2 linked regions of the Arabidopsis thaliana genome follow. The protein of the gene in region 1 interacts with the protein of each later gene in a pairwise test. Each region holds a gene or a part of one and is shown in the gene's direction. Other genes may lie near its edges.

Region 1 (4,881 bases):
TGTTTTTAACTTCATTGGTATGACATCAATAAATAAATAGTTGAATGTACTTTAGTTTCTCTTTTGGTTTAATGCACATCATCTCGATCAATTGTCATCATCTTACATTGAATTATACGACCAGATCTGATAACAAGTGAATTCGTACTTGCCCTTCCCTTTCTTCTCATACGTCCTTCTAACTAATTTTGATTGTAACTTATAATTATATAACCATATTTAATTTTATTTTATCTAAAACCAATTGAAGCAAATTAAAATATCATAAATCTTGAGTCCCACATGAAGACAATATATAAAACTCGTGCAAATTTGCTTAAAATGCTTCTATGAGACCATGACCAAGTGAGATTAATAAGCGATTCAATGTGCAAATCAAAAGAGAAAAGAAGCTAATGGGTTTAAATATAACCAAACAGAATAATAATGCTATGTTTAGTTTTTCTAATTGAATCATACCTTTGTGTCCATCACCTACTTACCGGTCAGAATAAAGCAATTACGTCTGCAACCAAAAAGCACTAAGACTTTCGGTCAGACATGATCTCTAACATCGGACGAACCCTAAGATAACCAAAATAAACTATATCTTATATTCAAATCTCTGTTTATTTTATCCATTTATGTTTTCTTTCTTTCCCATAATTTTTTTTGTGTCTCATCAGACTCTCTTACCAAACTGAATTTATCAACATGGTTTTTTTTTTGGCCACATCAAAATGGTGGTTTATAAAGTAGACTAATACAAAAGACATTTCTGTTAATTTCACTAACAAAAATAATCTTAGCAGTACTATAGATTGGAAAAGGAAAAGCAAATCTAGCAGTAAGATTTATCAAAACTAGCAGTAAGAGTTTTAGATATCATGAAAACATCACAAACGAGTAGTGTTTTACTTTACATTTTTAACCAATCACAAGGGTAGTTCCGTAAGTTGGGAAAATCGTACGAGGCTTCACCTAGTTAAGGTTAGGTCACATGATTCCCTGAACTCGATTTTATAAGTAAAAAAGAAAAATTTATAAAATCAAAATTTTTTATATAAAAAAATCAGGTGGATTTATCAGACCCTACCATCGAGATGTCGACACGTGTCCAAACTCATTCATTGCCCTACTATTTTCTGTTTAGGGTTGCAATCACTCATCGCACACGCGCCATCTCCACCTTCCATTATTAATCTCTCATTTTCAACATCACACTCTTACGAATCATACGATTTTAATATCTCTGTCTCTCTCAACGTATTAAATAAAAATGGTTTTAAATGTTAGGGTTTTTTGTAGGATTTTCAATTATTAATCTCTATAATTCGATGAACTAAGTAAAAAAGCATCAAACTTTCTTGGCAGAATCACATTTTTCTCTAAACTAAATATGGACTGAAATTGAAAAATTAAACCACTAGCTAGAATAAAGTGTTGGTGAGAGTGGAACTCTAATTTCTCTCCTTTACTAATTATGTATAAACACAAAAATGCACCAAATTTTTAGGTTTGAAAATATCTAAGCATGGATAGGGTAATTAACATTTTTTCTTTCAATTTTGCAATATTTGAATAAATCCTATGAGGGTCTTTGGTACACAATAATTGGAGGGTATATAGTTGAGTCTGAGAGTATATTAGAAAGAGAATATTTCAAGTAATGAAGCTGACATGTTTATATGTACTTTGAGAGAAGTGTTGTGAGATTTGTACAAATGTATATGTACACTTTAAAAAGCAATATAAGATAGATAAAAAAAATATAAAGAAAAAAAGAAAGAAAGAAAGAAAGAAAGAGAGAGGCTCATATATATATAGAATTGCTTGCAAGGAAAGAGAGAGAGAGAGATTGAGATATCTTTTGGGAGAGGAGAAAGAAAAAGAAAATGGGAAGAGGGAGAGTAGAATTGAAGAGGATAGAGAACAAGATCAATAGGCAAGTGACGTTTGCAAAGAGAAGGAATGGTCTTTTGAAGAAAGCATACGAGCTTTCAGTTCTATGTGATGCAGAAGTTGCTCTCATCATCTTCTCAAATAGAGGAAAGCTGTACGAGTTTTGCAGTAGTTCGAGGTATATATCTACTTTTGTATATATATTACTTATAACATAAACATTTTATATACATATTAAGTAACACAAAAATGTCTTGTATGTATGGGTCTCTCTGTGATGTGTTGTTGTGTCGTACGTACGTGTTCTATCATATCCTTTTAAAAGAAGCAAAGAGGAAAAAAAATTTGGGATACCCCAAATCTGTATCATTTTATAACAAGTTTGCTTTTTTGATGTTCTTTTGTGTTTCTCTTTGATTTCCATTTTTGTTTTTGATTTTTTTTCTATTTCTCTTTACATCTATCAAAGTTTTTTTTCTTATATTTTATTGCTTATTTGTTTGTCTACTTAATTCACATTATCTGAGAGAAGAACAATCTATCTGATATGAAATTAGGGTTAATTTCTCTTGTGAGTACTCTTTAATTCACATAAGCTTAAAGTTTCCACCTTTTGATTCTGGGGGTCGTCCAATTCGATCAAATCACTCAATTTTGTTGTCAGATTGATATAAGTTCATAGGGGGATATTGTTTCCACGACAATCCATTTTAGTAACCCTTAGGGGTTTCCAATTTTGGGTTTTGAATTGACGCTAATGTCAAATTCATCTAAAGTCCGTTGGATATGTATACTTGGGGATGGGATTCATCCTTTTTTCTGGGTTCTTTAGATCTTCTCTTAAAAGACTAACAGATTTTGTTGTAAACCCTAGGAAACAGTTAAAAATCCCATTTTTAAAAACATGTTTTGAACTTGATGAGTAAGATTAATGGAAGAAATGATGTTTTTGTGTGGTGTGAAGCATGCTTCGGACACTGGAGAGGTACCAAAAGTGTAACTATGGAGCACCAGAACCCAATGTGCCTTCAAGAGAGGCCTTAGCAGTTGTACCCAATTCTCTTCTCTTTCTTCTAATTACCTTAATTAATTACTCTCAATTTTTACTTTGATTTTTAGAGTCAAATGATTAATGTTATAATTTGTCATATACTTCAGGAACTTAGTAGCCAGCAGGAGTATCTCAAGCTTAAGGAGCGTTATGACGCCTTACAGAGAACCCAAAGGTAAACTAATTAGCTTCTTCAGCTACCTTCAGAGAGTGTTTGTTTTTTTAGTAGATTTTTTTGATGGTTTTGATGTTGAAATAGGAATCTGTTGGGAGAAGATCTTGGACCTCTAAGTACAAAGGAGCTTGAGTCACTTGAGAGACAGCTTGATTCTTCCTTGAAGCAGATCAGAGCTCTCAGGGTACTACTTTGTTCATCAATATCTTTATACACTGATCTATTTCCATAGTAAGATTAAATTTGGTGTTTAATTCTGCAGACACAGTTTATGCTTGACCAGCTCAACGATCTTCAGAGTAAGGTAAATAAAGAAACACTCATTCTCCTCTCTAAATTCCTCATCTAAAAGTAATGTAACCAAGAAAACACAAATATTTGGAGCAGGAACGCATGCTGACTGAGACAAATAAAACTCTAAGACTAAGGGTAATTAATATACATTCTCATATCACCAAATTAATGCATCACTAAATTTGGTTATAATGTGTGTGTGTATATACATATGTGACAGTTAGCTGATGGGTATCAGATGCCACTCCAGCTGAACCCTAACCAAGAAGAGGTTGATCACTACGGTCGTCATCATCATCAACAACAACAACACTCCCAAGCTTTCTTCCAGCCTTTGGAATGTGAACCCATTCTTCAGATCGGGTAACTTTAGACTAGTATAACCAATTTGATTTGAGTTCTATTATAAGCTTTTCTTAAGAAAGTATCTCAAACTACTAAATTTTATGGAGCAGGTATCAGGGGCAACAAGATGGAATGGGAGCAGGACCAAGTGTGAATAATTACATGTTGGGTTGGTTACCTTATGACACCAACTCTATTTGAATCTTTCTCACTTAATCAATCCCTCTCTTTTTTTTTTGACATTTTTAAGATGATGTTTCTATTTTATTACCTCTCTCATGTTTTCTGTCTTGTGTGCATGTGTGTGTGTAATGTTTATGCCCTTCTATTATTCAATAATTTTTTCGACAATTTTGCTTCCTATTTTTACCCATTACTCCTAAACTTCCTGATCCAGTTTCTTTTAAAATAACTCCCATTTTATGCATGTTATCTAACCAATTCTCTTAACTATGATTTATGGTACGATATAACTCACAGTCTCACACTATCTATTTGGTGTTTTTTTGTTTGAGTCTTGAGAAGGGACCGCTTGTTTATCTCTCTTGTTAAAGAGCAACTCACTGGCCACTGCTTATGTATCTGTAGGCCCCACCTATATCATTTTGGCTATATCTATACTTTTGTAGAGGGAGTATTACTATAGAGAAGAAGATAAATTTGGTTCTAATATATCTTGCAGGTAGTTGATATTCTCAATTATCATGAAGATTTGATAGACAAGTTTATCAGATACCTTAAACATAGGTTTAAGATCTCAATTGAAATGTGAATTCACCCGACGATTAGAGTTACGATCTAAGGAAGCGTTTCTTGAATTTTGAGTTTGTTTGATCAAGAGTAGAATGCTTTTCTATTACTAAGGTTGTTAATGCTTATATTCCATGACCAAGGCCAAGAGAACAAACAAAAACATGGTGCCTCTTGATGTATAGTAATGGCTCTTAATGGTCATATACAGAGAAAAAAAGATTAATGTCGTTGCACAAGCTTGAAGTTACTTACTCCTCGTCTTCCTCATTAGTGTCTTCGTCTTCCTCATCCTCATCGCTCCCAATATAGGGCTTCATCTACTTGAAAACCAAATGCTCATGCAGTGGAAAAAGATAACAGAGGTTCAAATTAAGGCAAACAA
Region 2 (7,525 bases), 8.0 Mb from region 1:
TTTTTAAAAAGTTATTCTAATCAAACAAGTCACCTTCAATAACAATTGATTAGAACATACCGCGTCATATAGTAAAAAACCTTTAAATCATATGTTAACATTCTCTTCTTCTATAAAGTAACATCAAATAGTTACTACAATGAGATATACAACAATCAAGTATGGTATTTAGGGTTTAACGTAAGATTTGAGAGATATGATTTATGCAATGACATCCAAATTTGATAGATATTGAGAAGATATAGAAAAAGCCAATAAAATATTGATAGTGGCTAAAATATTTGATCATTTTCATATAATGATATTTGCATTGTTTAGCTTTAAACTTATACGTGGATAAGGTAATCTAAAGTGTGAGAAATAATAATTTGCTGATAAATATTTTGTAGAGATAATTTGAGTATAGTGTTTGATAGACCAGTTTAAGTCTACAATCTTCTTTCTGTAAATGAGTTGGAAACATATCAAAAAGACGAGTCAGATATACTCAACCATGTTTTAAGGTAGTAAAAATAAATAGATCAAAATATTCAACCATGTTTCCAATGGCAGGAGAAGTTCTTGCAATACCAATATCTTTGGCTATATATGAGTCTGTTTTTTTAACCATTAGTGATTGTAATTTAAATCAATATAAAAGCTATTTGGTTTGTGGTGTTGTTAAACCGGGTGAAGCACTCTCTCAACTCTTTATACATATTTTTTCTTTTTGTTGACTAATAAATTTAACATTTTAACACACAAAAAAATGCTTTTGACTTAAAATTGGTTACATGCATTATTAGGTTCAGAAAAAATGAGGTATTTAAGATTTATATTCAGCAATGGTTCATATATATGCTCTCATGTCTGATTTTTTCTTTTAAATATATTTATGTTAGAAAATGATCTGCAACACATCAGACTAAAAAACTGAATTATTTTTTTTATATATTTTCTAATATTAATAGAAAACGGTTTATTAAACAAATGAATATGCAAATACTCTAAACCGTGAGAATTCCTTGTGGAGTTTCATTTGTATATAATATTTATTTTCTTTGCTTTATAACTTTAAAATACCATCATGATTATTATAGTTCAGCTTCTATGTAATGAAACCATGTAGACAATAAAATAAAGAAAATAAGAAGCAGTTTTTATTATCTAAAAAGCGTAGACAAAAATAATTAAGAAAACTTGAACAAAAGAAAAAAGATAGAAAGTTGAGACGAAAAAGAATATATAAGGGGAATGGGAAAAAAAAATCATCTAAGCAAGGGATGAAGATCAAACTCGAGTTGTTTAATCTCATACATAAATCCGCTTTCAAATTAATTTTATGTTGTCGTTCCATAATTATATTTTTTCTTAAAAATAGTCTTGTTTTCCATTCTCTCTCTCAAACCAAATTTACACATTTAAATAAACTTTAAACAGAAAAACCACTATTAATGTAGTAATATATTAAATATTGATATATTTCTATATCAAATTTAAAACTAAAACCAAAAAAAGAAAGAAAAATTTCTATATCAAATTTAGAACTAAAAACAAATAAAAATAGTGTCATTTCCATTATGTTCTTTTAAACCAAACTTTACATTCTAAGAAAAAACACTATTGATGTGTATATTAAACTTTTGATATCTTTCTAAATCAAACTTTTCTTAAGGTATTTAAAAGTGATAGTATTCTGAATGGAAAAATAACAATTTAACACTAAAACCAATAAAATAAAGAGAAAAATGTTTGTGGCTAACAAAAAAAAAAAATCCAGATTGTGATTACAAAAAAAAAACATTTCTAGGGCATGTCATTGACTTCCTTTGAAGAAGAAGAAGAAGAGAGAGAGAGACTGAAAAAGAAAAAGTAAGAAAGGGAATGAAATAAATCCGATCGAATACAATTTTGACGTCCGCAAGGACACTATTCTCTCTCTTCTCATCTTCTTCTTTCTCTCTTCTCTCTCTCTCTCTACAGCGAAGAACAGGACACAAATTACTCTGTGAAGCTTAAAAAGGTATAATTTTTAATAAAACCCAGAAACTACAATTTCTAGGCGGCAGAGAAAATTTGTTTCTACTTCTTTTTGTTTCTCTTTGTCTTCTCGTCTCTTTATCCCCAAACCCATCAATAAAAAACCCTAAAAGACTTCAAATTTCTTCAAGATTTTGTTCATCGGAAGTTTTCAGATTTTTAGTTGTGTAAAGTCTCTTCCTTTTTGTTCGATTCTCTTTGTTTTGAGTCTTATCAGAGACTTATTCTTCAATTCCACCTCTGGGTAAGTTTCTATAGATTCTCACTAGTAATCTCTGTTTTTTTTCTCAATTAGGGTTTGATCAAAGTTTCGTTTTTTTCTTTCTGGGTTTGTTCTTAACATTATGCTTTTGTTTTGTTAAGGTGGTGAGAGTTGGAAATGGAGTAGATTTGCTTAATTTAGATCTGTAAGTAATCAACAGACAGTGTTGTTTGGTTCTAGAATGTTCGATACGGAATCTCATCACTCAGATTCATCTCTTTCCGTGGTGTTTACGACTCTGAAGCTTATCATTGCTCAGAAAGAATACGTCTTTGCTCCTACACAGAGCTGAGTTTTATAAAGTCGTCAGTTTTGTTTCTTGCTTTCTTTGTTGATTGTGGAGTTGTGAATTAGTAAGAGTATGGTACCATCAGAGCCGCCTAATCCTGTTGGGGGTGGTGAAAATGTTCCGCCTTCGATATTAGGAGGACAAGGAGGAGCTCCTCTTCCTTCTCAACCAGCATTTCCTTCACTTGTCTCTCCGCGTACTCAGTTTGGTAACAATATGAGTATGAGTATGCTTGGGAATGCTCCAAATATATCTTCTCTTCTCAATAATCAGTCTTTTGTAAATGGTATCCCTGGTTCTATGATTTCTATGGATACAAGTGGTGCTGAGTCTGACCCGATGTCTAACGTCGGGTTTAGTGGTTTGTCGTCTTTTAATGCGTCGAGTATGGTGTCTCCGCGCTCATCAGGTCAAGTTCAGGGTCAGCAGTTTTCGAATGTTTCGGCTAACCAGTTGTTGGCTGAGCAACAACGGAATAAGAAAATGGAGACGCAGAGTTTTCAACATGGTCAGCAGCAGTCAATGCAGCAGCAGTTTTCGACAGTGCGTGGTGGTGGATTAGCAGGTGTGGGACCTGTTAAGATGGAGCCTGGTCAGGTTTCGAATGATCAGCAGCATGGTCAAGTACAACAGCAGCAACAGAAAATGTTGAGAAACCTAGGGTCAGTTAAGTTGGAACCGCAGCAAATTCAGGCCATGAGAAATTTGGCCCAAGTGAAAATGGAACCTCAACATTCTGAGCAGTCATTGTTTCTCCAACAACAGCAGAGGCAACAACAGCAACAACAACAACAACAATTTCTTCAAATGCCGGGGCAATCTCCGCAGGCTCAAATGAACATATTTCAGCAGCAGAGACTTATGCAACTTCAACAACAGCAACTCTTGAAATCTATGCCTCAACAGCGTCCTCAATTACCACAGCAGTTCCAACAGCAGAATTTACCTCTAAGGCCACCTCTGAAACCAGTGTATGAACCTGGCATGGGTGCTCAGCGTCTTACACAGTATATGTACAGACAACAACATAGGCCTGAAGTAAAGCTTCTTACCATAAATTTAACTTCTTTCAGCCTATGGCTTTTCTTCATAATTGACATTTGTGCTTGCTATTAAATGCAGGACAATAATATCGAGTTCTGGAGAAAATTTGTAGCTGAGTACTTTGCTCCTAATGCCAAAAAGAGATGGTGCGTCTCTATGTATGGCAGTGGCAGGCAAACAACAGGCGTTTTCCCTCAGGTTGGTTTACTGCTCAATGAACTTATCTTGTTTGTAATACAATTGTAAAGGAGCTTGTCTTTTGCACCTGAGCCAGTTATTCTGGATAAATTACGTACTTGTTTCATGTTATACCTCTTTACATGAGTATTTTTATTCCACAAACATTGCAGGATGTGTGGCACTGTGAGATATGTAACCGAAAGCCTGGACGTGGTTTTGGTATGTTATTTAGATGATCAGTGCAGACAATTTCCTGTACATCTTATCAAATATTCCTTCCTTACTGCTTTGTCTCTTTCATTGTTTAGAGGCAACCGCCGAAGTCCTTCCGCGGCTGTTTAAGATTAAGTATGAGAGTGGGACGTTAGAAGAACTGTTATATGTAGATATGCCAAGGGAGTCCCAGAATTCATCTGGCCAAATTGTCCTGGAGTATGCAAAAGCAACACAAGAGAGTGTCTTTGAGCATCTTCGGGTTGTTCGTGATGGCCAACTTCGAATAGTCTTCTCGCCAGATCTTAAGGTTCTTCAAGCTACTCTATCTTTCGCAGCAAATTATTATACTATTACTTTCTCTCCAAGCCCTTTATTCTTGTAAGTTCCTTCTCAGATATTCTCCTGGGAATTTTGTGCTCGGCGGCATGAAGAGCTTATTCCACGAAGACTTTTGATACCGCAGGTAACTTCCAGAAAGATTCACCATATTGCTCTGACATATAGTTATTTTGGAGATGCGGCCTTTCCTTTTGTCACAAAATTGGATATGCTGTCTTAATATTATTCTAGTCTGCTTTTCTTTGCGAAATCGTCACTTTACCTTTCATCTTTTGTGGTTTCCAAATTTCAATAGGAGTAGAATATTACACATCTAAATCAGTGAAAACAGCTTAGGTAAATTAGCTATTTTTGTATTCACATACAGGTTAGTCAGCTTGGATCGGCAGCTCAGAAATATCAACAAGCTGCTCAAAATGCAACAACAGATTCTGCTCTTCCGGAGCTACAAAATAATTGCAATATGTAAACTTCCTCTCTTTCGCTGTGAAATTGATGTAACAAATCCTGTTATTCGACTTTTGATTGGTGATCTCTGATGTGCTGCAACTGGTCTGCAGGTTTGTTGCATCTGCTAGACAATTGGCAAAGGCCCTGGAAGTACCACTTGTGAATGATTTGGGATACACAAAGAGATATGTTCGGTGTTTGCAGGTAAATAACTAATGTCTCAATATGGATCAAGTGAACTCTACAATCTTGCTTAAAACTTAAGATTCTTGCCATCAATGAAAATGCAGCTTTGAAAAGGATAATACATAAAAATGAAATAAACTTAATCAATCTTTGTATTTAGTCTGTCCCTGTGACCATGTTTGCCAATGCACATTGATATTTTGCAATATTGTAGATCTCAGAGGTGGTAAATAGTATGAAGGACCTGATAGATTATAGCAGAGAAACACGAACAGGACCAATCGGTAAGTTTATGTGACCACCTTTTAATGCATTTGGTATTTTTAATCTTGAAGCACCTACTCTTTTCGTTCATGTATTATATCAGAACTTCATTGTACATATTCTCCGGTGATTTGACTGATGTCATGTTTTCTTTCTTTGGTACAGAGAGTTTAGCCAAGTTTCCTCGGAGAACAGGCCCTTCATCTGCACTGCCTGGTCCTTCTCCTCAGCAAGCCAGCGACCAGCTTAGGCAGCAGCAGCAACAACAACAGCAGCAGCAGCAACAGCAACAACAACAACAACAACAACAGCAGCAGCAGCAAACAGTTTCCCAGAATACAAACAGTGATCAAAGTAGTAGGCAAGTTGCACTAATGCAGGGTAATCCAAGCAATGGTGTAAATTATGCCTTTAATGCAGCCTCTGCATCCACTTCCACCAGCAGCATCGCAGGGCTCATCCACCAGAATTCAATGAAGGGAAGACATCAGAATGCTGCTTACAATCCTCCAAACAGCCCCTATGGAGGAAACTCTGTTCAGATGCAATCACCTAGTTCCTCGGGTACCATGGTGCCATCATCATCGCAGCAACAACACAACCTGCCAACATTTCAGTCTCCAACATCCTCATCTAATAACAATAATCCCTCTCAAAACGGGATACCATCTGTTAATCACATGGGTTCCACAAACTCACCAGCAATGCAACAGGCAGGTGAGGTTGATGGAAACGAGTCTAGCTCGGTGCAGAAGATACTGAATGAAATCCTGATGAACAACCAAGCTCATAATAATAGCTCAGGAGGAAGCATGGTTGGGCATGGGTCTTTCGGGAATGATGGGAAGGGTCAAGCTAATGTAAATAGTTCTGGTGTTTTACTGATGAATGGCCAAGTGAACAACAACAACAACACAAATATTGGAGGTGCTGGTGGGTTTGGTGGTGGGATTGGTCAATCCATGGCAGCAAACGGAATCAATAATATAAACGGTAACAATAGTCTCATGAACGGAAGAGTTGGGATGATGGTGCGGGATCCAAACGGTCAACAGGATTTAGGAAACCAACTTTTAGGAGCAGTGAATGGTTTCAACAATTTTGATTGGAACGCGTGAAATGAAGAAGAGGAAGAAGAGACACTGAAAGGGTAATGTTCTGCTTGCGCAGCATCACACATCTTCAAACTCAGGATAAGGATAGGCCAATAAGCCGTGATATTGTGCTTAAGAAAGGAAGAGTCAAATCTTTGTATCAATAACTGGTTTCTAGGTCACCTCCACAATCACCAATACCATCTCTTGAGTTACTGTTTCTTTTTTTACTTTGGGGAGTTTTTCTTATGCTTTATAGTTTATAATGTACATCTTTCTATCGGTGTGTGTTCCTTAGGGCACATCATCAGGGAGGCAATGAATCAAGCTCTATCCTTCATTTATCTCTCTGGTCTCTTCCATGTGTTAACCAAACTTCCCTAAATTCTGACCACAACGTTAAATATGTGCAATGCTCTTGAACGATGCTGATCGGTCATGATTTTTTGTTGTTAGTGCAATGAAATACCACAAGCCGTACGATGTCTATTGTTTGGTCACAGTTATTAATCAAATACCAAATATCCAAGCTTGTCTCTTAAACACAAGTTTTTACTCTTAAAGTTTGCGCAAAATTTCATTCCACAAGTTTTGTGTATTCATACTCACATATGACTACGAGATTTAACACATTGACAAAATTAAAAGCACAAAAGGAGAAAATTGTAGTTTCAGAAAGAGTAGTCTTTCAAATCTGCTCTAGAGTCGTCCATGTCAATCTCAGACATGCATTCGTCAGCACTAATAGGAGGGAGTTTCCGAGTCTTACGCTTAAGGTTGTGTTTGTGCCAATCACTCTTACAGTGCTCTCTGTATTGCTTAGCCTCTCCAACGAACGTGTTGCAAGTGCTGCACTTGGTCCCCTTCTTTTCTTCTCCACCTTCTTGCTTTATGTTATCTGTAGTACTTATCTCTTGCTTCTGCAGTTTCTTGCTAAGTTCAACGACGGGATCGGTCAAATCCTTAGTCTCAGTCTCAGCAGGTAACAACGGCTTGTGGGTTTGCAATGCCATATCATCATGCTCATCGTAATGATCCATGCTTGTGTCACCTTCTGCATGAACTGATACAGCGAGTATTTCTAGTCTTCCCTGGATACTCCTCACATGGGAATCACACTCTCGGAATAGGCCCGGTTCCATCTCGCAGACCTACACAAGAAATGTATCACCATGATCAGAG

What was found.
Region 2: the proteins of SEP3 (region 1) and SEU interact in a two-hybrid assay, tested with the Arabidopsis thaliana proteins (one study listed by BioGRID).

Annotation. Positions count from the first base shown.
Region 1 is NC_003070.9:8,592,856-8,597,736, reverse strand, and holds SEP3 (K-box region and MADS-box transcription factor family protein), read left to right. Parts: upstream 1-1,638; 5' UTR 1,639-1,874; coding exon 1,875-2,059; intron 2,060-2,845; coding exon 2,846-2,930; intron 2,931-3,039; coding exon 3,040-3,107; intron 3,108-3,191; coding exon 3,192-3,291; intron 3,292-3,369; coding exon 3,370-3,411; intron 3,412-3,494; coding exon 3,495-3,536; intron 3,537-3,621; coding exon 3,622-3,764; intron 3,765-3,856; coding exon 3,857-3,947; 3' UTR 3,948-4,161; downstream 4,162-4,881. Other genes in the region: AT1G24256 (uncharacterized protein), read right to left, coding at 4,748-4,816. UniProt on the Arabidopsis thaliana protein: Probable transcription factor active in inflorescence development and floral organogenesis.
Region 2 is NC_003070.9:16,615,230-16,622,754, forward strand, and holds SEU (SEUSS transcriptional co-regulator), read left to right. Parts: upstream 1-1,758; 5' UTR 1,759-2,263; intron 2,264-2,382; 5' UTR 2,383-2,642; coding exon 2,643-3,608; intron 3,609-3,692; coding exon 3,693-3,812; intron 3,813-3,964; coding exon 3,965-4,013; intron 4,014-4,102; coding exon 4,103-4,317; intron 4,318-4,404; coding exon 4,405-4,473; intron 4,474-4,716; coding exon 4,717-4,814; intron 4,815-4,909; coding exon 4,910-5,003; intron 5,004-5,199; coding exon 5,200-5,269; intron 5,270-5,414; coding exon 5,415-6,367; 3' UTR 6,368-6,820; downstream 6,821-7,525. Other genes in the region: AT1G43860 (sequence-specific DNA binding transcription factor), read right to left, coding at 7,015-7,494. UniProt on the Arabidopsis thaliana protein: DNA-binding adapter subunit of the SEU-LUG transcriptional corepressor of the C class floral homeotic gene AGAMOUS during the early stages of floral meristem development.